7 linked regions of the Macaca fascicularis genome follow. The protein of the gene in region 5 interacts with the protein of the main gene of each other region in a biochemical or structural test. Links are inferred from orthologs where the notes say so. Each region holds a gene or a part of one and is shown on either strand. Other genes may lie near its edges. The genes, in order: NFE2L2, NUP98, IRF5, VDR, CREBBP, histone H2B type 1-B and KLF1.

Region 1 (2,483 bases), on a different chromosome or scaffold from region 5:
ACCCTCCAATCCTTCCTATAAATAGGCGGCATATAAATAATCAGAATGACTAAAGGCACTGAATATAAAATAATATCTTCAGTATTACATTCTATTTTAGTTACCTGTAACTCAGGAATGGATAATAGCTCCTCCCAAACTTGCTCAATGTCCTGTTGCATACCGTCTAAATCAACAGGGGCTACCTGAGCAACAGAAGTTTCAGGCGACTGAGCCTGATTAGTAGCAATGAAGACTGGGCTCTCGATGTGGCCGGGAATATCAGGAACAAGTGACTGAAACGTAGCCGAAGAAACCTAAAATTGATAAGGCATTGATTTATGAGTCTTCCACCAACGGGGGATAAGTAAGCTCTAAGGCACCACCACAATACAAAATGGAATCAGCTGCAGTTCCGTGTCTCGCTACTTACTAACCAGTCATGACCCTTTGTAAATAATGAAATCTTTTTTTCCTACCACACTGACTCAGATTTACTATTTGCTGGCCTAATTGTTTCAGCCTATGCATTTGGAAGTAAACTTTAAAATGAGTAAGCACAATCTTTAGCATTTAGTTTATATAATATCTAGCACAGTGGTACCAGATAAAACCGATTTATTAAAACTGTTAACTGAAGAAGTCTTCGTTTATTGCCCAGCTGGCTTTTTACTCACCAAGACCTCTTAGATACTTGCAGCAAATGAGTTATTTGTTTCCATGGTTATGCTGTCCATGTTTCTGGCTATGCAACAGTAAATGGTTTTGGTTTTGTATTGTGTGAAGGTTTTTTATTATTTTTTTCTTAATTGTAAAGTTATCTATAGGCTAAGGTTTCCTTGACAGAGTATTTCCTTGGTTAAAAAATTTCCTCCTAAAACTGTTTTTATTCTTTTAAATGGAGACTCATTGACGGGACTTACGTAGAATACGATTGTTATTTTATAGTTAGGGAGTTTTGCTCCTAACCAGGTTATTTTATACCTCACCTCATTGTCATCTACAAACGGGAATGTCTGCGCCAAAAGCTGCATGCAGTCATCAAAGTACAAAGCATCTGATTTGGGAATGTGGGCAACCTGATAAAAGGGAATGACACAAAGGAAGACAAAAATGGTTAAATATTCCATTGCCAAGCAAAATATTCAATACTTGATGTTCATAAAATATAATCAAGTTAGGTAAATATTTATCTTATTGCAGAGATCACTTTGGTACACAATTTGAACCAGACCATGTGGGTTCAAATCTTAGCTCCTCCAATTTTTTGAGTGATCTGGGCAAATTATTTAACCTTTTTTCAGCTTCAGTTGCTCATCGCAGATAAAATAGGGATAATGGTACCTAATTAATATACTTGTGTTGATTAAATCAGTCAGTATATGTTAAGTTCTTAAAACAGTGCTTGCCACACACAGTAACGCCAGTAATTCCTACTACTTGGTTCTCCTGCCACTACTTCTGTTGCTGCTACTTGATCCTTACAGGATGTTTCTATACTTTACAAAACTCTTTTGTGTAACTTATGTCTTCCCAATCCTCACAATAACTCTGTTAAGATTAGTAGGTTGGGTACTGGACTCATCAGGAGGCTGAGGTTGGAAGGTAGATTTGACAAGGTTAAGTAAAAGAAAGGCAAAGCTGGAACTCAAATCCAGATACTTTAATTCCTTGGTCAGTGTTTCCTTAAACCCTGCCATAACTTTCCCAAGAACGGAGTACTCTACCTGGGAGTAGTTGGCAGATCCACTGGTTTCTGACTGGATGTGCTGGGCTGGCTGAATTGGGAGAAATTCACCTGTCTCTTCATCTAGTTGTAACTGAGCGAAAAAGGCTTTCTCTTGCTCCTTTTGGAGTTGTTCTTGTCTTTCCTTTTCAAGTTTTTTCTGTTTTTCCAGCTCATACTCTTTCCGTCGCTGACTGAAGTCAAATACTTCTCGACTTACTCCAAGATCGATATCTTGCCTCCAAAGTATATCAATCAAATCCATGTCCTATGTTTAAGACAAAAAAAGGAAGGAGAGAGATCATGGTTTTTAAATGGCAGATACCACATATATTAATTCACATTATGCCACTGTTGATGGTGGGGAGTGGGGAGATTACAAATACAATCTAAATGAGAACACAGATCCAATGTTCTAGAAGAGCACAGTTAATTCCATTCAATGAATCTATTCATTAAAGACAACAAACAACCTACAAACACATAGCCATCCACTCTAATCACTTGGATCATTAACGATAGGGTGATGGTAGAGGTCACTAAAGGGCAAAGTCACAAATGGTTTGAATGAAAAGAAATCCCACCCTTGTTTAACGCAATATAGAAATTAGAGCAAGCACTCTAAGCCACTGACTTACGAGAAGTAAGTAATGTTGGAAAACATTACTGAATACATGGAGCTTTCTTTAAACTTTGCTCAGCAAATATCCAGTTTATAGAGGGATAACTCCCAAGTTAAAGTGTCAATCTAGCAGTTATGAAATGTCACCATTCTTTC
Region 2 (2,915 bases), on a different chromosome or scaffold from region 5:
ATTTGCTCATATCTTCAGCTTGACAAATCAAAATAAGATCTGGAATAGTACTCATGCTACTCAATTGATTCCTCTTGAAAACAGCCCTGTGTGAAGTAACATCAGGGATCATTATCCCCTTTACAAAAGGGAATCCGACTTAGAAAGGTGAAGCGTCACTCAAGGTTTAAAAACAAAACCACTACAGTAGAAGAGCGAGGAGGCTTTGAATGGTATATTCTATTGGGCAATTTGAGACCTGGAAATCTATATGTATAAATATATGTACAGCAATCAGTATTAATCAATAATCAACTCCCTTGCCCCTAAATCTCCCCTTATAAATCTAGCCTTTGGGCTAATCTATCTCTCAGTTTAGCACCAAATAGTTCTCTCTTTAACCCAAGGCCTGTCTCCATTTAGAAGGCAAATTCAAAAACAGGCTAAATCAAACAAGGCCATCATAAAGATCCTCAGGGCAAGAAGGCTCAAAAATACAAAGGGAAAGCCAATACCAGGAATGCTATAAACATTTTATTTATTTATTTTTTAAGAAAGTAACTTCAGAAAAAGAGGAAAATATCTAGATCATTTATTTATACATATATATATTTTTTAATAAAAACCTTTACATAATCTTCATGCATAAAGACCCAGGTGTGGCCATATTGCCTGAGACAGCCCTAACACCAGCTATCTCATGCCATTACCTGGGGCTCCCTATAGCTGTCAGCAGTGTAGCAAAGGCCCTCTGCCTGCCCCTAACGCCCAACTCCATGCCTGCCTCAGTCATGGTTTGCTTCTGGAAGGGATGATGGAGGGTGGAAAATGCTTTAGAGCTAACATGGGATGAACAGGGAGGGTTACCCAACCTGCCATTTTTAATCCAAACTCTTCAGGCAAATCCAGACAGACTCTCAGCAAGATGACTGAAAACCAGGGACCAAACCAAATTCTGGGAGCTTCCCATAGACATGTCACATATGACCAAGGGCTCCTGCACATAGTAGTAGCAAAGGTATGGTGTTCATGGAACACTAAAGGCAGGAACAAAAGAAGCTCTGAAGATCAATCCCTCCATGGCAGGCATTCACTTCTGCCCTAAGTGTGTCAGAAAGATCCCATTCTGTTTCCTAACTCAGGCCAACCCTCCTCTGCCTCCAAAATTCAGTGTTAACTAACCAATTACTTAAGAGACGGATCCCTCTTCCTTCTGTGGATAGTTCACCTGTTAAGGATCCATTACTACCTGTCTCACTCCTCCTAAGGAGTCCTAGCATAAAAGGGCCAGGGTAGGAGTAGGGTAGCTGGTTGGCATGGAGGGTCACAAGATCCAGAATGGCTAGGGGTGAAAAAGGATTCCCTGGTTCTTTGGGGGATTCTGCCAAAGGAGCTTTATTGACCATTTATTAAAAGGAAAAACACTGGTCTTGAGGATGGTAAAAAGAGAATTGTCTCCTCTTCTGGGTTCCAGAAGCCCTTATGCTATGTTTAGTATTAAGAAAAGCCCTGAACAACTGGAGGATGCTGCTTGTGGCAGCAGGGAAGGAGGGCAGATGCCATAGCCAACCCAGAGAATGGCAAACAGTGCCAATCCAAACAAGGCAGGGAACCTCTGTGTGGTGAGTGTGAACGGGCATGTGAGTGTGATGCAAAGAGTCTGGGGCTCACAGGCTCCCAACAGCGAGTTCTCGCAGATAGGACTGGGTAAGGCTGCGCAGTTCGTCCATGGCATAGTCCTCAGGCATGGGGAGCCGGCCAATGTGGGGAGCCAAGAGGCGCAAAGGGACTCGCTGAGGGTCTGGTGTTGAGTCGGAGGTTCTATCAGGAGCATGATGCAGACTCAGCACCACCCGCAGCAGGTTGGCTACACGTTTGGCCATGTCTAGAGAGAAAAACTAGAGTTAAGCACTGAGCATGGGTCTAGAGAACGGTGGCAGGCACTGAGGGTGGGGTGTAAGATAAAAACAGGAAGCAAGAAGGCAGAAAAAGTGAGGAGATTAGAGGCTTACCTGACTGAGCTAGGCGATCTTTAGCATTGTAACACTGAATCTGCTCTATGCGACTGCACAGTGAAGTCACTTTGATGTGTAACTGCTCCAGGTCATAACCTGAGCAATCCACCTACAAAGAAGCAGAGAAGTCAATTAATCCAAGGGGAGTTCCTATCACTCAACACCACCTATAGACTCTATACAAAACCTTGAAACAACAGTGAGGTGAGGGAGGGGAAAATCCAAGAAGATGACACAGGGTCAAGCCACCACCATCTAGTGGAGGACAAGGCACTAATTATGCAGTAATAAAGAGGAAGGTAACATAGTGTACACAGCCTTGGACTAGGAAAGTCTTGAGATCCCGAACGATACAGCAAGCTTTAATAATACAGCAAGCTTTAATAATACAGCACCAAAAATCAAGATAAACTGGGTTCAGAGAGATGGTATGACTTCTTAAGAGCACACAGGAAGTAAAAAATGCAGCCTGAACCAACATTTAATTTAGGTCCCCTGACTCCAAGTTTATAGCCTTTTCTTTTTTTTTTTTTTTTTTTGAGACGGAGTCTCGCTCTGTCACCCAGGCTGGAGTGCAGTGGCGGGATCTCAGCTCACTGCAAGCTCTGCCTCCCGGGTTCACGCCATTCTCCTGCCTCAGCCTCCCAAGTAGCTGGGACTACAGGCGCCTGCCACCTCGCCCGGCTAAGTTTTTGTATTTTTAGTAGAGACGGGGTTTCACTGTGTTAGCCAGGATGGTCTCGATCTCCTGACCTCGTGATCCGCCCGTCTCGGCCTCCCAAAGTGCTGGGATTACAGGCTTGAGCCACCGCGCCTGGCCTAGCCTTTTCTAAAACACCAAAAAAGCTGGGTGCAGGCAGCAGGAGGATCAAGAGCAAGACAAATTATTTGCTCTCATGAAACTGACAGAAACTAAATAAG
Region 3 (3,500 bases), on a different chromosome or scaffold from region 5:
GACCCACTCGACTCCCTCCGTCAGCCCACAGTCAGTTTGGTTTCTGAGTTGTCCCAGTCCAGCCACTTTCGTTTCCCCTGGGGCTGGGTGGAGGCTGGGGCAGAAAGCGGAACTGAGCCCCCATGTTCTGAGGTCGGGGCAGGGCTGGAGCGTTCTGAACACCTCCCAGTCCCAGCCCCTGGGCCAGGCAAGGCCGGCCGGCCTTACGTCTCCTGGGTTGGTGGCAGCCGAGCTGGGCTCTGAGGGAGGCCTACAATGTGAGACGCTAGCAGTTCAGAGGCAGCACGAGGCAGGTGCAAACCCAAAAGGTACTGGGCAGGGAATTTCAGGGGAAACTGAGGTTCCGTGCTGCAAGGCCCAAGCAGGCCCAGAAAGACAGAGGGAGTTCAGCTCGAACCTTTGCTCCTTACTTGCTGAGCGACACGTTCACTTCTGATGGGCTGTGCTGTATAATGGCCCAGTCCTTTCTGTCTTCCACACAGGGGTCTCAAGTGAAGGGCCAAGGGCATGGGTAAGGGGAGGAGAGAGAGAGAGGAGGGGGCTCAGGACTGTGAAGAGTTTCCGGTTCTGGGCTGGAGAGGGAGTTTGGCGGGTGGAGGGGAGGAGGCAGGGTCCCTCTGGCCTGACTCCAGGGAGGCAGCGAAGCTGTGGCCTGAGAGGTGGGGATCGTGCCCCTGGGTAGGTAGTGGTTAGAGCTGTGGTTTCTGTTTCCTGCAGACTTCCTAACAGGCTCCGGCAGGCGTTAGGGCCTTCCTAAGGGCTACACCAATGCGTGTCCAGTGGGAGGAGAAGGGGGAGGACCAAGAATCTAGATGAATGGCCCTAGAGAAGTAACGTCTAAGTTTGGTGGCCGCTGTCGTTGGAGGTGGTTGAGTTGGTTGATGGGATTTATCTAAAGACGTTGAGGTTGGGGAACTTCCTCCCGGAGGGAAACTGAGGAAGAAAGGTAGCTCTGAGAGTTGGGTGAAGAAACCCACCCTCCATTCACATGTTCTGCTTTCCTCTGAGGGCAGGTGTCCTTGAGAGCTCGAGATGAGATTCTTGTTGAGGGCATCTCCGGAGGGGACTCTCAGGGGACAGGGGTGAGAAAACTTGGGCAGAGAAGAATTGAACCAGGGGTGTGGACTGAGCGGGAGGTTGCCTTCAGGCTGATCCCACGGAGCACTCGCTGCCCCAAGTAGCCCAGCTTGAGACAAGATAGCCAGGCTTTTGTCCCTTGTGTCAGGCAGTCTGGCTGTGGGCTGCCCCCCCAAGAGCGAGGGGTGGGCCTAACCTGTGGGGTGAGTAGTGGAAGGCAGTTCTCTGGCCAATGGGCTGCTCGCTACTGTCAGCAGTTGGAGAATAGATGCCTCCGCCCGGTAAAGGGCGTCTGGGGCTGTGCCCGCAGCATTCACTAACTCGTAACTCTCTTTCCCTTCACCCAAACACAAAATTCCATGACACTAGACAAGAAAGTTGATGCTTGGAAAAGACAATTGGCCTTAAATACCTAGATGGACTGGAGAGACCATCCCTTGTGGCCCACAGCTTGACCTCTGAGCACCCTGTCTCCGTCCACCTGCGGACCTGCTGAGGCTCCCCCTGGCTTTCTCCTGCAGACCCTTCTGCCATGAACCAGTCCATCCCAGGCGCTCCCACCCCGCCCCGCCGCGTGCGGCTGAAGCCCTGGCTGGTGGCCCAGGTGAACAGCTGCCAGTACCCAGGGCTTCAATGGGTCAACGGGGAAAAGAAATTATTCTACATCCCCTGGAGGCATGCCACGAGGCATGGTCCCAGCCAGGACGGAGATAACACCATCTTCAAGGTAAGCCCTGGCGAGGAGGTTGGCTGGACCTCCAGAGCACCCTGTCCCCAGAAGAGGATCGCATATAACACACACAGGCAGCTCCTCAAGACTGGCCACCCACCCAGCTAGCACGCTGCCACTGATGCCAGGCCCGGACTAAGGGGATGCAGACGTAGCCACAGGGCACACCTTTTTCCTTTTTTTTTTCTTTTTTTTTTTTGAGACAGAGTCTCGCTCTGTAGCCCAGGCTGGAGTGCAGTGGCACAATCTCAGCTCACTGCAACCTCTGCCTCCTGGGTTCAAGCGATTCTCCTGCCTCAGCCTCCTGAGTAGCTGGGATTACAGGCATGAGCTGCCGCGCCTGGCCTAGGGCACACCTTTTCTAACCTTCACCCTAGAGCAGTGTGGGAACTGAGGGTCCCCAGAAGGCCTTCCCATAATTTGTCCTACTCACCCTTTGCTCTTATCTCACTGCTATTACTCATGAGGACTTGTTCAGTGCACACATATGCTAAAGGAAGCCAACAATCACCCATCATCTTTCTTTTTTTGAGATGGAGTCTCGTTTTGTTGCCCAGGCTGAAGTGCAGTGGCACGATCTCAGCTCACTGCAAGCTCTGCCTCCCAGGTTCCTGCCATTCTCCTGCCTCAGCCTCCCAAGTAGTTGGGACTACAGGTGCCCGCCACCACACCCGGCTAATTTTTTTGTATTTTTAGTAGAGACGGGGTTTCACCATGTTATCCAGGATGGTCTCGATCTCCTGACCTCATAATCTGCCTGCCTCAGCCTCCCAAAATGTTGGGATGACAGGTGTGAGCCACTGTGCCCGGCCCACCCATCATCTTTCTAAAAATTTTATTTTTAAATTAATATACCCCCATAAATATATGGGGTACACAGTGATGATTTGATAAGTACAGTGATCAGATCAGGTACTTAGCATATCCATAATCTCAAACATTTGTCATTTCTTTGTGTTGGGAACAAACTATTTTTAATATAAGATTCAGATATATCATCAATCTTTTAATTTTTTGATTTTCTAATTTTTTTAGAGGCAGGGCCTAACTCTGTTGACCAGCTCCATTTTTTTTTTTTTTTTTGAGACAGGGTCTCACTCTGTCACCCAGGCTGGAGTGCAGTGGCGCAGTCTTGGCTCACTGCAGCCTCTACCTCCCAGGCTCAGGTGAGTCTCCCATCTCAGCCTCCTGAGTAGCTGGGATTACAGGTGCCTGCCACCACACCTGGCTAATTTTTTGTACTTTTAGTAGAGACTTTGCCATGTTGCCCAGGCTGGTCTCCAACTCCTGGACTCAAGCAGTCCGCCCACCTCAGCCTCCCAGAGTGCTGGAATTACAGGTGTGAGCCACTGTGCCTGGCCCAATCTTTTTTTTTTTAACTGACATATTACAACTGTACATATATACTCCCCCCCCTCCTTTTTTTTTTTTGAGATGAGGTGTTGCTCTGTTGCCTAGTGTTGCACCACTGGTGAGCAGTGGTGCAGTCATAGCTCACTGCAGCCTCCAACTCAGCTCAGGTGATCCTCCAGTCTCAGCTCCCCGAGTAGCTGTGACTACAGTTGCATGCCACCATGCCCAGCTAACTCTTTTTTTTTTTTTTTTTTTTTGAGATGGAGTCTTGCTCTGTCACCCTGGCTGCAGTGGCGCAATCTCAGCTCACTGCAACTTCTGCCACCTGGGTTCAAGCAAT
Region 4 (4,140 bases), on a different chromosome or scaffold from region 5:
GGTAAGAGAGGATGGTGGCTTAGAAAAACCAGGGCTATGGTGGCCATTGAGATGAATGGTGGAAAAGCAAGTGCATTTTGTGTGGGATCTGGTGGACTGGACGGTATATTGGATGTGAAAGGTAAGGCAGTACCAAGGACCACAGTCTTCAGCAACTAGAAAGATGAAGGTGAGGCAGGTTAGATTGGGGGTGACAGAGGGGAATCAAGGGTTGTCATCTGGATGCATTACGTTGAAATGTCTGCGAGGCCCCCAACAGAAGTGTCCAGGGGAACTGCTTCTGGGAGTCAGAACGCAGAGGAAGAATGGGGTTTGCCACCATACAGATGGTGTCTAAACCACAGAAATACGGCAGAGGGGATGGCAGTACCAAGTCCATGCAGCACTGGCTTTCCAGTCACTTCGAAGAGAAACCTGCCAAGAGGCCTGAGAAGGAATCACAGACAAGTCAAGAAGGAACCAGAAGGACAGCGCCACATGGGGGGAGCAGAAGGGAAAAGAGAAGGCCTCGGGAGGGGAGTCAGTTGAGTCCAGGCTGCTGGGAGAGGACGAGGGAGGCACAGAAGCGCTCCTCAGGCCGAGTTTCATGTGAAGAGCTGCAGTGGAGCAGTGGCTGGGGCTGAGGGAGGAAGTAGAGGCAGCAAGTGGCCCTGCTCTTGTGAGGAGGACGGCTGTGGAAGCGTCAGCGTGATGGACTGGCAAAGATGGATCCTGGAGAGGGATACTTTTAGAGATGAGAGGTAGAGCATGCTGATGGGAACGGTCCAGGAGAAAGCAGGGTGGGGTTGGAGGTCAGGAGAAGATATGAAGGACAGCTGAGGCACCCTCCCCCTCAGGTGCCCCCTCTCCCCCCCCACCGCCCGCCTTCCTCCCTCCACAAAGGCGAGGGAGCCATGGCCCTGGGACCTGGACCCAGGCTTGGATGGAAGGCAGAGGCCCAGCCCCCGCTAGGGTGGAGAAAGCCGTGGAGGGGAGGACCTGCCTTTGCTCTGGAAATAGAAAACCAACACTGGTAACTGAGTAACTCTCGGAGAGGGGTGCAAAGGCACTGGCAAAATCTGAAGGAACACAAATAAGCTGTACCGCTTGGGCAGCGAGGTGGATCGGATGTAGGGGGTGCAGCGGCCTGACCTGCAGGGGCCACAGGGCTCTTCCCAGTCCTGCCTGACCACAGCCAAAAGCGATGGTTCCTGGGAGGCAGAGCATCACCAAGAAAAGATCAGGCGCTCAGCCCCAGGCCGTCAAGTCCCATTTCCTCTACCCACCGCCACTGCCTGCTCCGACTGCAGCCTGGCGCACCACCCGGACGAACAGACGGACGAACAGACAGACGGACAGACAGACAGAGGCTGGCCTCGCAGCCTCCGCCAGCAGAGAAGGCCTGCGCGTGGGATCCAGCAAGGCCAGTGCCCTGCCTCCCTCCAACCACCGCCCACCCTTCTCTGACCGCGCCAGCGCCGGATCCCATCTCCCCTCCCACACCCCTCCCACCCGCAGGGGGCAGCCTTTACTGCCATCCTCTCTCAAACCTCCCTCACCTGCGGCCCCAAAGCGCGGGCTACACACCTGTGCACCCCACGCACCCGTGCACCCCCACACACCTGCGCGCCCCACACACCTGCGCACCCACACACCTGTGCATCCCTCACACCTGTGTACCCACACACACCTGTGCGCCTCACACACCTGCGCACCCCCTCACACCTGCACACTCCCTCACACCTGCACACCCCTCACACCTTTGCACCCCAAACACCTGTGCACCCCCACACCTGCGCACTCCCTCACACCTGCACACTTCACACACCTGCGCACCCCCTCACACCTGCGCACCCCCCACACCTGCGCACCCCTCACACCTGCGCACCCACACACACCTGCACACACTCTCACACCTGCGCACCCCCACACACCTGCACACCCTCACACCTGCGCACCCACACACACCTGCACACACCCTCACACCTGCGCACCCCCACACACCTGCACACACTCTCACACCTGCGCACCCCCACACACCTGCGCACCCCCTCACACCTGCGCACCCACACACACCTGCACACACCCTCACACCTGCTCACCCCCTCACACCTGTGCACCCACACACCTGCGCATCCCCTCACACCTGCGCATCCCCTCACACCTGCGCACCCCTCACACCTGCGCATCCCCTCACACCTGCACACCCCCTCACACCTGCGCACCCACACACACCTGCGCACCCCCTCACACCTGCTCACCCCCTCACACCTGTGCACCCCACACACCTGCGCACCCCCTCACACCTGCGCACCCCACACACCTGTGCACCCCCTCACACCTGTGCACCTCCACACACCTGCACACCCCTCACACCTGCACACCCACACACACCTGCACACCCCTCACATCTGCACACCCCCACACACCTGCGCACCCCCTCACACCTGTGCACCCACACACACACCTGCGCACCCCTCACACCTGCGCACCCCCACACACCTGTGCACCCACACACACACCTGCAAACCCCCCACACCTGCACTCATGACTGGATAGCAGGCTCCTCGGAGGAGCTTTCTACCAGCATCTAGGAGTCCCTGAGTGACAGGTTGGGCTGCAGGTGAACACACTGCCCTCTTTCTGCCTCAGTCCCGCTGTCCTCCCTTGCTTTGGGCAGGGCCCCTGCGTCCCTCTCTGGCCTCACCCCTGTCCCCAGGCTCACCGCCAAGGTCGCAGGAAGCAGAGGTGCGTCTCCCCCTGCAGCAGACCACCCTGGCCCTGCTGCTGTCCAGTCCCCAGGCCTGCCCTTCTCCACACTGCGCCAGGACAGCAGGGCCTTCAGGGAAAGGAGGGGCCAGGCTGCAGGGAGTGGGGCTGGGCCTGCCCTCCTGAGGAGGAAAGGAAGGTGAGAGTCAGTGACCTGAGAAGTTTCCATGAACTCTGCCCATGAGGGAACAGGGGAGGACCAGGAGGCTGGGCCCCACACAGCCGGAGGGAGCCACCTGGCAAAGTGGTTTCCCTACCATCAATTTCTAACTGAATCTTGAGGTAAACAGACACACCGGACCTGCCCTGAGGAAGGAGGCAGGTTGGGAACTGCTTGCCACCACGGGCATTAGAGGAGCCAGAGGTATCTGGAGCAGGGGGTGGGGGTCAGGGCTGTGGACAGCCTGGCCGTCCATCCTGGGCAAGGGGAGATGGCTTCCCCAGGAAGGACGGTGAAGGCTGTTCCCATCCCCTCTCCCACTGGCGCTGTTAAGGTACGGTCCGTTGATGGGTAAACTGAGTGCGTGTAAGTGAGAGAGAAGGGGTCATGGTTGGTCTGAGGAAGCAACCAGTTCAACACCTCCAGCTGCTGACTCAGCTGCCTCCCGTCCCCAGCCCTCAACATCTCCTTCCTAAGCCGGTGGGAACAAAGACGCCGCCAGTTTCCAGTTGTAAAAGTTGGAGGAACAATCAAGAACAAAGATCAAGGCTTCACATTTTCCATGACATTGGTGCAGGGGCGGGGACACCATGCCTATCTGGCACAGTCCCCATTCCCCATGCCCTCTGGAAAGCAGGAAACTGCCATGTGGGCATGGGCAGTGCCAGCCTCTCCATTAGCATGGCGCCTCCCCTGGGTCAGCCTGGGTGGCTGTCTTGGCCAGGCCAGGCTGTCTCCACAGAGTCTCCTGAATTCAGGGTCCCTCAAGCCCCAGTTCCTCCCATTTCTGGGAGATCAGCCAGCCTCAGAGGCCAAGAGCTGGGAAGCAGGGAGCCCACCCAGGAGACCCCCAAACCCGTAGCACTGTACAGAGGTCAATGGTCAGAGGGAGAAGGGCAGGGGGACAGCAGACAGAGGACTGGAGGTAGGGACTTGGGGGTGGGTGGGGTTGTAGATGTGGTAAGGGAGCAGAGTTCTGGAATCCATTTGTAAGATGTCAAAGGGCAGCTGAGACTGGGCTGCTTCCCAAGGTATGGCTGACATTGACTAGTCTCCTTGTCCTCCCACCCCTCTGGCACCCTATTCTCGCAGCTTCTGGGGGAGATAGGCACGTAGTGATGAGTCCACCCAGGTAAACAGATGATGATACATCTGTTTAATGGAGTACTCTTCAGCTGTTAAAAGTGACATAAACCCATTGATGCTGGCGGAGAAAATGACCAAGGTTTATT
Region 5 (3,500 bases):
AGTCTTGCCATGTTGTCCAGGCTGGTCTCAAACTCCTGGCCTCAAGTAATCCTCTTGCCTCGGCCTCCCAAAGTGCTGGGTGGCATGAGCCACCACACGAAGCCTAACTTTGTTGAGCTAGTTATTTTAAATGAACTAGACTTATATTCCCTGAGTTTTTTCCATTCCTTATTTTGATCAAATTTTTTTAGTAGTAAGTAGTTTAAAAATCAGGGATTTAAAAATCGTGTTATTCTGGAAATGACCCAGCACATACTTGTTAATAGCAAAATATTGATGTGTTTGATGTGTAGATAAGTTGGTAAGTCAGGATTGTCTCCAGGGAGTTACTTCATTCATATATTGATATGCTGGGCAAGAGAGGCTTGGCATTTCTCTCCACAGTGTATTGCCACCAGAGATACATGATCCTGATTTTGTAGTGCTCATTTGACAGCATTGGGAGTAGCTTCAGGCCAGGTGCAGCAGCCCCCACCTGTAATCCCAGTGCTTTGGGAGGCTGAGGCGGGAGGATTGCTTGAGCCCAGGAGTTCAGGCCAGCTGGGGCAACATAACAAAACTCCATCTGTACAGAAAATTTAAAAATTAACCAGGCATGGTAGTGTGCACCTGTACCTCCCTCCTTAATTGAGAGGCTGAGGTGGGAAGATCACTTGAGCCCAGGAGTTCAAGGTTGCAGTGAGCTATGATCATGCCACTGTACTCCAGGTTGGGTGACAGAGCGAGACCCCGTGTCTTTTTTTTTTTTTTTTTTTTTGAGACGGAGTCTCGCTCTATCTATTGCCCAGGCTGGAGTGCAATGGCACTCAGCTCACTGCAACATCTGCCTCCCGGGTTCAAGCAATTCTCTTGCCTCAGCCTCCCGAATAGCTGAGATTACAGGCACCCACCACGAGGCCCAGCTAATTTTTGTATTTTTAGTAGAGACAAGATTTCACCATGTTAGCCAGGCTGATCTCAAACTCCTGACCTCAGGTGATTCTCCTGCCTCAGCCTCCCAAAGGGCTGGGATTACAAGCATGAGCCAGCGTGCCTGGCCAAAACCCCATGTCTTTAAAAAAAGAAGAAAGGAAAAAAAAGTAGTTTGATGTGTTATCCTTTCAGCGTCCAAGCCATCTTCCCAACACCTGATCCCGCAGCTCTAAAGGATCGCCGCATGGAAAACCTGGTAGCCTATGCTAAGAAAGTGGAAGGGGACATGTACGAGTCTGCCAACAGCAGGGTAGGTTGCTGCTTATCGTGCTCTGGCCTCTACAGCATCTGTAGTAGACAGCACTGCATTTGTCTGCTTTGTTATCTAGAAATTGTGGAATCTGTGTAGTTGGGAGAAACTCCTCACCTTGAGGCCACTGGCCAAAGAGACTTCCCAGATAAGACACAAATTTCCTGCAGAACTCTCTTGGTTAGTTACATTGGTACATGGAATATATAAATTTACATTATGTCCATGGGATATATTTTTCACAGTAGGTGGTGGGTGTAATATTGCTAGCATCAGTGAATATTCAAAAGTTCATTGGTATGAAGTGGGCCGTGTATTTAGTACCTATTATTTGATATGTCCTATAAAGCTCCTGGTGCATCAAGTATTTATTTGCATACTTACTTTTGCCAGTGTACTCAATGAAGAAGTTCATTAGTTGGAACCTACAACACAGATCATTCAGTTGCTTTTTACAGTTTTAACTGTTTCATATTGAATATTGTTGCTTTTTAGGATGAATATTATCACTTATTAGCAGAGAAAATCTACAAGATACAAAAAGAACTAGAAGAAAAACGGAGGTCGCGTTTACATAAACAAGGCATCTTGGGGAACCAGCCAGCCTTACCAGCCCCGGGGACTCAGCCCCCTGTGATTCCACAGGCACAACCTGTGAGACCTCCAAGTAAGCATTTTATTTCCTTCTGCCATCCCTTAGCCTGTTTCCTTGGTTTTCCTTCGTGTTTGGGGTGTATTTCTAAGAACAGAGAATTAGAATCTCTGATGCGTGCACTGCGGAAACTGTTGATGTGGCAGTGGCCCTGACCACCTGCCTCAGGCTGTGTTGGGACACTGAGTTTCTCTCTTGGGAAGGCCCTTTACAGGGTCCGCTGGCATTGGAACACACGTGCCTTTGGACCTATTGGCTGTTTTCCCTTTTAAGTTTGAAGTCCTAATAAGACATTTCCTATTCCTGAATCAAGGATTATATTAAATAACTAGGGTGGTTTTGTTTTTGTTTTTGTTTTGCCGCCATAGATGGACCTCTGTCCCTGCCAGTGAATCGCATGCAAGTTTCTCAAGGTATTGAACTATTTGCTGTGAATCATATTTTAGTTTAACATTCAACAGCCATAACTTTCACTGTTTTTTTCCTCTCCCCCTGTGTATTTCTTTCTAGTCCTTTCTTCTTTCCATTCCTTTTTGCTGATGAGCAGAATTGTTCTACAGGTAGTATGGATCTGTTTATAGTATGAAATTTGGAGATTATAGGAAAGATCTTTCAAGAAATAAGAAGCAGTTTTTAGCTATTTATTTTATTTTATTTTTATTTTTATTTTTTTGAGGTGGAGTCTCGCTCTGTGGCCCAGGCTGGAGTGCAGTGACGTGATCTTGGATCACTGCAAGCCCTGCCTCCTGGGTTCACACCATTCTCCTGCCTTAGCCTCCCCAGCAGCTGGGACTACAGGCACCGGCCACCATGCCCGGCTAATTTTTTGTATTTTTAATAGAGATGGGGTTTCACTGTGTTAGACAGGATGGTCTTGATCTCCTGACCTTGTGATCCACCTGCCTCAGCCTCCCAAAGTGCTGGGATTACAGGCATGAGAGCCCCTGCACCCAGCCTTAGCTTTTTTTAAATTTTATTTTATTTTATTTTATTTTACTTATTTGTTTTGAGACAGAGTCTCACTCTGTTGCCCAGGCTGGAGTGCAGTGGTGCAATCTCGGCTCACTGCAAGCTCTGCCTCCTGGGTTCACGCTATTTTCCTGCCTCAGCCTCCCAAGTAGCTACAACTATAGGTGCCCACTACCACGTCCGGCTAATTTTTTGTATTTTTAGTAGAGACGGGGTTTCACTGTGTTAGCCAGGATGGTCTCGATCTCCTGACCTTGTGATCTGCCTGCCTCAGCCTCCCAAAGTGCTGGGATTGCAGTTGTGAGCCACTGCGCCCAGCCCAGCTTTTTATTTTTTTAATGGATGGTGAAGGGGCATGGTACATTAGTCTTAGGAAGAGTCTGAGAAAGAAGCACTCTAGATGTGGGGAGGGAGTGCTTCTCAGTGCTGAGAAGGAGAGGCATGCAAGACACTCCTAGACTGCTGAGCACTTGCACAGGCTGACATGGGGACGGCACGGGCTGCTCCTGGCCCTAGGGGTTAAGCCCAGCTGGCTGGATGTCAACTTCTGGAGAGTGTGTACACACAGGTCCTGTGCCAGGTTGGGGTGGCAGCAGCTGTCTCAACAACCTTGAAAGTTTCTTAAGTAGAGAGCCTATGGTTTTTGGTTGATTGAAG
Region 6 (4,229 bases), on a different chromosome or scaffold from region 5:
TTAATATTTTTAAATTTTTTTTTTAATGAGTCAGGCTGTTTTTTTGGGGGGGTGTGTCTCATTCTGTCACTCAGGTTGTCACGGCGCGATCTTGGCTTGCTGCAACCTCTACCTCCCAGGCTCAAGTAATCCTCCCACCTCAGCCTCTCTAGTAACTGGAACTATAGGCATATGCCACAACGCCCAGCTAATTTTTTGTAGAGACTGGATTTCGCCATGTTGCCCAGGCTGGTCTCGAATTGTGAGCTCAAGTGGTCTGCCTGACTAAGTCTCCCAAAGTGCTGAGATTACAGGCATGATGCACCTGGCCCAAAAGTTCATTTTGCAAATGCTTATATTAGCAGGTCTCACTTCTCCGGGGAAAGATCCTAAATATCAGTTTCTTAAACTGCAGCCTCAATTGCTTAGTAATGTTTTGGGGGAGGTGGTCGTTTTATAATTTTAAAAAAAATTATAGATTTTTTAAAACACAAGCGTCTCTTTCACAACGGTAGTTTGCATATACAGTACTAGGATGGGAAGTGCTTCACTTACAGTTGTTCACTGACATTTTGTGTGGCATCCAGATTTTTTTTTTATTTTTGAGACAGGGTCTGTCCTCACCCAGGCTGGAGTGCAGTGGTGTCATCACAGCTTACTGCAACCTCCACCTTCCAGGCTCAAATGATCCTCCCACTTCAACCTCCCCAGTAGTTGGGACTACAGAAATGTGCCACCAGGCCTGGTTAATTTTTAAATTTTTGGTGGAGACAGACTCACTAAGTTGCCCAGACTGGTCTTGAGCTCCTAGGCTCAAGTGATCCTCCCACCTTGGCCTCCCAAAGTGCTGGTATTACAGGCGTGAGCTGCACCACACCCGGCCCAGAACCTCTTTTAAAATATTCTTAAAAATTAAATCTGGGCCGGGCGCGGTGACTCATTCCTACGATCTCAGCACTTTGGGAGGCCAAGGCGGGAGGATCACTTGAGCCCAGGAGTTCACTTGACCAGCCTGGGCAAGATAGTAAGACCCTTTGCCTCCACAAAAAATTAAAAAATTAACTGGGTGTGGTGGCGCATTTCTGTAGTCCCAGGTACTCAAGGGGCTGAAGTTAGAGGATAGCTTGAGCTGGAGAAGTCGAGGCTGCAGTGAGCTATGATGGCACCTGGCCAACAGAGCAAGACCATTTCTCAAAACAGAAACAATAACTGTTTGAGAAACTTTATTTCTTCATCCGAAGACACTGCTGAATGTCACCTACATATAATGCCCGTAAGTTCACTTAAAATACTCCCCTCCGATTCCCCCATCCCCTCCTACTTAGTGTGCAATCAACAGGTTCTTTTCTTCTTCCATTTCTTCCCCCAGCCCCAGACCAAGAATTGGCCCATTAAGTCCTCCTCAACTAGTACCCTTCCTGCCTTTTTCTAGCTATATTGTTTTTGGCGTCCCGGATTTCTTGAAAAATGCTTCCCTCTCCAAGTGGGGCCTTCCTAGTATCTTTGCAGTAGGGCCAGTTGGGGAAAGGCACAAAATTCAAACCCTTTTGTATCTCGCAGAGCTGGAAATCCGAATTTTAAGTGGCCTAGGAAATGGGAATCTGGATTTCTGGGATGCATGAAATATGTAAACTACATAGCTGTTGTCATTGATAAACAATTATAACGCAAAACTACTGCGATTTCATTTTGTGGAACGGGAAATATTCCCTACAAAGGCGCCCGGGAAATCAGACTTCGCTTACTGTTTCCTCAATACTGGAGGAAATCTTTCCTTCTTACTGGAGGTAAGAATTTACAGCATAGGCAAACTGCAGGAGCAAATATCCCTACACGCCCTTTTGTCGCTTAGACTTTTCTGCTCCCCTCCCCCTCATCTCAAGCGGTTAACGGCTAATGACCCCCATAGAAACACTGTACCCTGAATTGCATTACTTGTTTCATTATCCAGAAAGGAAAGTTTCCTGTGCTAGACCAGGGAGGGAGTAGTGACCATATCAAATGAATTACAACTAGTACCCGAAGGCTTACCCAGGGGGAACAAAGAAGTTTGCTAAAGGCAGATGAGAAAGAGCGCCAGCACCCTCCTAACGTTTGTATTTTTAATAGAGACCATGTTGGCCGGGCTAGTCTCGAACTCCTGACGTCAAGTGATCCGCCCGCCTCGGCCTCCCAAAATGCTGGGATTAAAGGCGACAGCCACGGCGCGCTGCCCCAAGTTAACCTTGGCTCTAAAAGTTGCCTTCGCTAACATTCTAGTTGATCCTCTAGAACTGAAGCAGAACAGAGGCAGCACCACCTTAAGAAATTGTGGTTATAGCTCTCTTTGCGACAAAGTAGGTGGCTCTGAAAAGAGCCTTTGGGTTTGGAGGTGCTTACATAAGCACTTACTTGGAGCTAGTGTACTTGGTAACAGCCTTGGTGCCCTCGGACACAGCATGCTTAGCCAGTTCCCCGGGCAGCAGCAGGCGCACAGCCGTCTGGATCTCCCTGGAGGTGATGGTCGAGCGCTTGTTGTAGTGCGCCAGGCGGGAAGCTTCGCCCGCGATGCGCTCGAAGATGTCATTGACAAAGGAGTTCATGATCCCCATGGCCTTGGAGGAGATGCCGGTGTCGGGGTGGACCTGCTTCAGAACCTTGTACACATAGATGGAATAGCTCTCCTTTCGGCTGCGCTTACGCTTCTTACCATCCTTCTTCTGCGCCTTAGTGATGGCCTTCTTAGAGCCCTTTTTAGGGGCAGGAGCAGACTTAGAGGGTTCAGGCATCGCTATTCCTAAAACAAAACAAAAAAGCTACTAACACTCTCCAGCAGAGTAGTAGAGAGAACAGTTCAGAGCCCACGTATTTATAGTCCTGAGATTCAAATGACGGTTTAAGATTCCTCACTTCTGATTGGATAAAAGAAATACAGTTTCACTGAGGGGTGGGGTTTATGCAAATATGGAATTTATGGACTCTTTTTCTATTGGATAAAGCAGGAAACATAATTGACCAATAGGATAACTCTCTATTGCAGCCTTGCAGTTTGTATAAAAGTATTTCTTCAGGCGCCATTCCATCTTGCTTGTTTTTTACAGTTTTCAGAGGTCGCTGTGTTTGGACATGGAAAACGGAAGTAAAGCACAAAGTTGTTCATCGGTACCAGCCTTGCAGTTTCTAGTAGCGCAGGGTCCATCGTCTTTTTCGAAAGGGCAATTATTCTGAGCCTGTCGAAGCCGGCGCGCCGCTGTACTTAGAATACCTGGCCGCCGATATCCTGGAGCTGACACGCAGCGCCATACGTGACAAGACCCATAGCATCCCCCGCCACTTGCAGCTGGCCTTCCGCAACGACGAGCAGCTCAACAAGCTGCTGGGCAAAGTCACTATTACTCAGGGAGGCGTCCTGGCCAATATTCAGGCCGTCCTGTTGCAAAAATAACCGAGAACCACGATAAGGCCAAAAGCAAGTAAAGCCCACTCAAGCCAGAAAACGTACCTTAAACTTGCTACGGCATTTTTCAGAACCGTCCATTGTTTCACAAGAAAGGATGGTAACTTGCTTGTGTTTCGGGTACCTTTTGGTTTTGGTTTGGATTGGTTTGAGACAGAGTTTCGCTCTGTCACCCAAGCTGGAATGCCGCCGCGCGATATCGGCTCACTGCAACCTCCACCCCGCGGCTTCACCAGGTTCTCATGCCTCAGCCTCCTTTGTACCTGGGATTACAGGCGTCTGCTACCACGCCTAGCCAATTTTTGTATTTTTATTCGAGACGGGGTTTTCACCATTTTAGCTAGGGTTGTCTTGAACTCCTGGCCTCAAGTGATCCTCCCATCTTGCCCTCCCAAAATGCTGGGATTACAGGCGTGAGCCACGGCCCCCCTAGCCTAATGGTGTTTAAAAATTAAGTTTCGAGGAAATATCTTCTTTAAGAAACTACATTTTAGAGTATACAAAGTGAAACTAAAGCCAACCAAAATAAGACAGTTTGAGAACAGTCAGGGTGGGAATGTGACTTGGACTTAGAAAACGAAGGATAAGGAAACTGGCTGTTGACCAGTAACAAAATAGCATGGAATTCTCATTCTCTGAATGTAAGTAGTTTCCGACATGAGGCAGTCAACGTTTCTGGTGGTTTAGTGAGTGTTCACCAGCACTGATAACTTTCAAGACTGTCAGGAATGCAGAATTTCAAGTCCCACGCAAACTTACTGAATCGGAATTTACATTAAAAAAATCCGTAGATGCTTTGTTATGTACCTTGTTC
Region 7 (4,034 bases), on a different chromosome or scaffold from region 5:
ATTCAGGCAAACGCTGAAGCTTTATCTGGGAGGGGCATTTTTATAGGACCCATAACCATTGACAGTTAATATCAGCCACAATAAGGGACCTTCAGGAGCCCCTTTCTAGACCCAGGGTCTCTGGGAAGCCTCACCCCACACCCTCTTCTGCTGTCCAGGGCCATCTGGGAGCTGGTCTGAGTGTCCACTGAGTCCGTTTATTTGGTGGTCTGTCTCACTGGGTCTGCATGACAGTTTGGACATCTCTGTGTGGCTCCCTGTGGCTGAAGACTTGTCGGATTTCCGTGGGAGGCTCCCCCAGGGCTGTCTATGGGTCCGTTTTTGATATCTGGGTGAATCTTTGGGACAGCGAGTCCAGGAGAGGGTCCATTCGTGGGAAAACCACCCGGCATTGTGTCACTTGTCCGTGTAAAGAAACCACCAAACAGGCTTCTTGTCCCATCCCCAATCCCCAGGACAGTCCAAGTGCCAGGGCAGGGCTCAAAGGTGCCGCTTCATGTGCAAAGCCAGGTGGTCTGAGCGCGAAAAAGCTCGTGGGCAGAGCTGGCAGCGGAAGGGGCGTTGCCCCGTGTGTTTCCTGTAGTGGCGGGTCAGCTCGTCCGAGCGCGCGAACCTCCAGCCGCAGCCTTCCCACGTGCAGGCGTATGGCTTCTCCCCTAGGGGACGAGGAAGTCATAAGCGCTATTGTCAGCCCAGTCATGTCCCCGGGTCCCCTGCATCTGGCCACACCCCTTTACTCAGTCTGGGCTGGGACTAGGATGAACAAAGTGAGGCCCCTAGGGCACAAAATTTAAGGAGGCACTCACTCTCAGAGCCAGCCAAGTCCAAGTCCCGCCCTCTGCAACCCTTCTTCCCCGGTAACTACAGCAGGTGCCACCCGCTTTCTCATGTCCGGGTCCCACCCCCTCACCTGTGTGCGTGCGCAGATGCGCCTTCAGGTGGGAGCTCTTGGTGTAGCTCTTGCCGCAACCCGGGTGCGCGCACGTGTGCGCTGCCTGCCTCTTGCGCGCCCACGAACGTCGGCCGCGCTTGGATGGCGCGGCCTCGGCTATCACACCGGGATCCCCTGCAGTCCCCCCGAGTCCAGTGCCCACCGTCCCGGGTCCCAGGCAACTCAGGAAGGAGGGGGACGTGGCGGGGCCGGGCGCGGGTCCCTGGAGCCCGCGGAAGAGCTGGAAGTGCCCTTGGTACTGAGGCGCCGGGTACACCGCGGGGTACCCGGACAGCAGCCCATAGGGGGCGCCCGACGCCGCAGGCACTGAAAGCCCGGTCCGCTGGAAGTAGCCGCCCGAAGAGCCGGCGCCGGGCCTGGGGTATACCGGTTGCAGCGCCAGCGCCTTGGGCTCGGGGGCCGGGGCTGGAGCCAGGGCTGGGCCCACGAAGGCGTCGGGAGCCGGGGCTCGCAGGGCAGGACGCACCCAACCTGAGTGATCCTCCGAACCCAAGAGCCCAGCCACCATCCCCGGGCCGCCCGCATAGGCTCCCAGAGTCTCGGGGGGCGGCGGGTATTGCACCCCGGGGGCCTCGCTGGGCGCCAGAGCGCAGGTCTGGGGCGCGCCACCCGGCTCCGGGCCCGAGAAGTTGGTGAGGAAGAGATCCAGGTCCCAGGTGGCGTCCGCGCCCCTCTCATCGTCCTCCTCCTCCCCGGGTTGGTCCTCAGACTTCACATGGAGGGGTGGCTCCGTGGGGTCAGGAGGACCCGGGCCCATGTCCTGCGCCTCTTCGGAGCGCCACCACTGCGGGAGGGAGCAGGCAGCTTGAGGTTCGGTGGACACTGAGGTGCCCTGCCCAGGGACATCGCAGGCTGGGTACTCTTACGGGGAGAGGCTGGCCAGAGGCTTTGGAAAAGGGTCCTGTTTGCCTGTCTCTCTGTCCCACTTCCCCAACACTAGCCGCCCTCTAGCCGCCCCTCTCCCCCCTCTCCCCCAGCTCCAGGGACAGAAGCCGATCAGGTCTGGCTGGAGACAGGAGATAAGACTTCCACTATCTGGAACCACACTTGGGGATGGGGGAAGGGGTAGCAGAACTGCTGGAGATGGAAAACTGGCGGGGGTTAGGGGAGAGGGTGCCAGCCTTGACTTAGTTTCCCCCTGGAACATCTCTCTCCTTCCCTGTCTCCTAAAACAAGAATAATTCCGAAATTTTGGATGTCCCCCAGACACACTCATCATTTCCCTCTGATATCTGGAAGGTTGTGAGCCTAGATCTCGTTCCTTTTTGTTTGTTTGTTTCTTGAGATAGGGTCTCACTCTTTTGCCCAGGCTGGAGTGCAGTGGTGCAGCTCACTGTATCCTTAATCTCTTGGGCTTTAATAATCCTCCTGCATCAGCCTACAGAGTACCTGGGACTACAGGCACATGCCCCCACGCCTGACTAGTTTTTGGTATTTTTTGTAGAGATGGGGTTTCACCATGTTGTCCAGGCTACCTTCGTTTTCTATTACAGAAATAGATCACACCTAGAACCTCAAGCCCCCAGACCACCCTCCTCACCCTCTGCCAGACTAAGCTGAGATCCCCTCACCTGGACTGAGTGTACCTCAGTTCTGGTTAAGTCCCTTGATTGCAGGGCAAGATGCAGGTCTGGACCCCAAGATCTGTGACTGTGGCCCTGGATCCCAGCCAGCCCACCTAGACCCCACCTTCTAGGCCCCACCTTGAGGAAGTCATCCTGTGTGTCCGGGAAGGGGCCCAGGGCGGTCAGTGTGCTGATGGAGGGCAAGGCGGTCTTGGCTGTGGCCATGGCTGGCTGGTGCCCACCCTGGGCCTCGAGCCTCCTCTTCCTTGGCTGCCTGGTGAACTCTGAGGCTGTGATAGCCCCTTCGAGGGCTCCTCTCTGCCCTTAGCTGATTGGCTGCAGCCTCTGATAAGGGGAGGCAAGGCAAGGCAAGGCGGGGGGGTCACTGTTTCTGAGGCACAAACTTCACATTGGCCTGTCTGGGGTTGGGACTTAAAGACTAACCCTGTGTCCAAAGCCAAGTCAAATATCAGGGGTTGAGGGGTTCAGGGTTTGAGGGTCCAGGTGCTGGGTAAAAGGAGACATTGGGTCTCCAAAGAAGGAGAGACTTGGGGGTCTGCCCTCAGTTTACTTTCCTGGAAAAGGCAGAAAGGGTATTCTGGGAAGAAGCTGTGGGACCCCCTGTCCCCCTGATTGAGGCTCTACAGCCCTCCCCCTCCCCAGTAAACAGCAAAAACCGTGCCGATGGCGGGACTTGGCACAAACTCCCCGCCAAGCATTATCAGACACCCCAGACGTTGGAGGCTGCTATCAGGTGGGGGCCCAGGCCAGCTAGAGCTCTGTCCTCCGGTGAAGGGGAGGGCTGGGGGTTGGGTCTTCAAATTAGCCTGGCTTTCAATTTGCCTGGGTTGGGACCTCCCAGGGTCTGAGCCCTATAGCAGGAGGACACCCCTGCCAACTGGCCCACCATTGTCTACTGGGGACTCTCGGGTGGCACTGCATGGGACTGCATGGAGGCTGGTTCAGTGCCAGCTGCTTTAGTGCGATGGGGGCAGCCATGGGAAAAGTGACCCTGTCTCATCCTGGGTGGGATAGGACCGTTGGACCAAGCCATAGGCAGTATCTGACCTGCAGGAGACCAGTACCCTGGCTCTGGGCCTGGCTGCTCCTTGATTCTGCCCAAAATGAGGAGAGGATCTGAGTTACTACAACAGGGACCTCCACTCTGGTGCCCTGGGAGCCTGGGAAGGGGACATGGATACATATTACAGACACATAATTCATAGTCACTCATTGGAAGACTGAGGCAGGAGGATCACTTGATGCCAGGATTTCAAGACTAGCCTGGGCAACATAGAACCTATATTTCCAAAAAAAAGCTGTGAGTGGTGGTGCATGCCCATAGTCCCAGATACTTAGGAGGCTGAGATGGGAGGATCGCCTGAGTCCAGGAGGTCGGGGCTGCATTGAGCTATAATCACAACACTGCAATATGACCACACCACTGCAGTCCAGCCTGGGGGACAGAGAGCAAGACTCTGTCACTGAAAAAAAAAAAAAGAGAAAAGTTGGGTGGC

Evidence for each region.
Region 1: the proteins of CREBBP (region 5) and NFE2L2 form a complex in vitro, tested with the Homo sapiens proteins (2 studies listed by BioGRID, with this or other methods). The link is inferred for Macaca fascicularis from reciprocal best matches to the Homo sapiens genes CREBBP and NFE2L2.
Region 2: the proteins of CREBBP (region 5) and NUP98 form a complex in vitro, tested with the Homo sapiens proteins (2 studies listed by BioGRID). The link is inferred for Macaca fascicularis from reciprocal best matches to the Homo sapiens genes CREBBP and NUP98.
Region 3: the proteins of CREBBP (region 5) and IRF5 form a complex in vitro, tested with the Homo sapiens proteins (2 studies listed by BioGRID and IntAct, with this or other methods). The link is inferred for Macaca fascicularis from reciprocal best matches to the Homo sapiens genes CREBBP and IRF5.
Region 4: the proteins of CREBBP (region 5) and VDR form a complex in vitro, tested with the Homo sapiens proteins (2 studies listed by BioGRID). The link is inferred for Macaca fascicularis from reciprocal best matches to the Homo sapiens genes CREBBP and VDR.
Region 6: of the proteins of CREBBP (region 5) and histone H2B type 1-B, one has a biochemical effect on the other in vitro, tested with the Homo sapiens proteins (2 studies listed by BioGRID). The link is inferred for Macaca fascicularis from reciprocal best matches to the Homo sapiens genes CREBBP and H2BC3.
Region 7: the proteins of CREBBP (region 5) and KLF1 form a complex in vitro, tested with the Homo sapiens proteins (2 studies listed by BioGRID and IntAct, with this or other methods). The link is inferred for Macaca fascicularis from reciprocal best matches to the Homo sapiens genes CREBBP and KLF1.

The regions. Positions count from the first base shown.
Region 1 is NC_088386.1:72,769,216-72,771,698, forward strand, and holds part of NFE2L2 (nuclear factor erythroid 2-related factor 2), read right to left. Parts: intron 1,974-2,483; coding exon 1,707-1,973; intron 1,059-1,706; coding exon 969-1,058; intron 297-968; coding exon 105-296; intron 1-104.
Region 2 is NC_088388.1:70,596,318-70,599,232, reverse strand, and holds the end of NUP98 (nuclear pore complex protein Nup98-Nup96), read right to left. Parts: intron 2,104-2,915; coding exon 1,992-2,103; intron 1,865-1,991; coding exon 1,647-1,864; 3' UTR 501-1,646; downstream 1-500. UniProt on the Homo sapiens protein: Plays a role in the nuclear pore complex (NPC) assembly and/or maintenance. NUP98 and NUP96 are involved in the bidirectional transport across the NPC. May anchor NUP153 and TPR to the NPC.
Region 3 is NC_088377.1:170,402,134-170,405,633, forward strand, and holds part of IRF5 (interferon regulatory factor 5), read left to right. Parts: intron 1-167; exon of another isoform or gene 168-308; intron 309-1,446; exon of another isoform or gene 1,447-1,598; 5' UTR 1,599-1,609; coding exon 1,610-1,804; intron 1,805-3,500. UniProt on the Homo sapiens protein: Transcription factor that plays a critical role in innate immunity by activating expression of type I interferon (IFN) IFNA and INFB and inflammatory cytokines downstream of endolysosomal toll-like receptors TLR7, TLR8 and TLR9.
Region 4 is NC_088385.1:54,687,829-54,691,968, forward strand, and holds the start of VDR (vitamin D3 receptor), read right to left. Parts: upstream 2,801-4,140; 5' UTR 2,705-2,800; intron 1-2,704.
Region 5 is NC_088394.1:4,558,463-4,561,962, reverse strand, and holds part of CREBBP (CREB-binding protein), read left to right. Parts: intron 1-1,104; coding exon 1,105-1,222; intron 1,223-1,717; coding exon 1,718-1,889; intron 1,890-2,242; coding exon 2,243-2,287; intron 2,288-3,500. UniProt on the Homo sapiens protein: Acetylates histones, giving a specific tag for transcriptional activation. Mediates acetylation of histone H3 at 'Lys-18' and 'Lys-27' (H3K18ac and H3K27ac, respectively).
Region 6 is NC_088378.1:146,884,678-146,888,906, reverse strand, and holds the start of histone H2B type 1-B, read right to left. Parts: upstream 2,801-4,229; 5' UTR 2,748-2,800; coding exon 2,371-2,747; intron 1-2,370. UniProt on the Homo sapiens protein: Core component of nucleosome. Nucleosomes wrap and compact DNA into chromatin, limiting DNA accessibility to the cellular machineries which require DNA as a template.
Region 7 is NC_088393.1:13,279,567-13,283,600, forward strand, and holds KLF1 (Krueppel-like factor 1), read right to left. Parts: upstream 2,801-4,034; 5' UTR 2,743-2,800; coding exon 2,656-2,742; intron 1,737-2,655; coding exon 911-1,736; intron 657-910; coding exon 481-656; 3' UTR 21-480; downstream 1-20. UniProt on the Homo sapiens protein: Transcription regulator of erythrocyte development that probably serves as a general switch factor during erythropoiesis. Is a dual regulator of fetal-to-adult globin switching.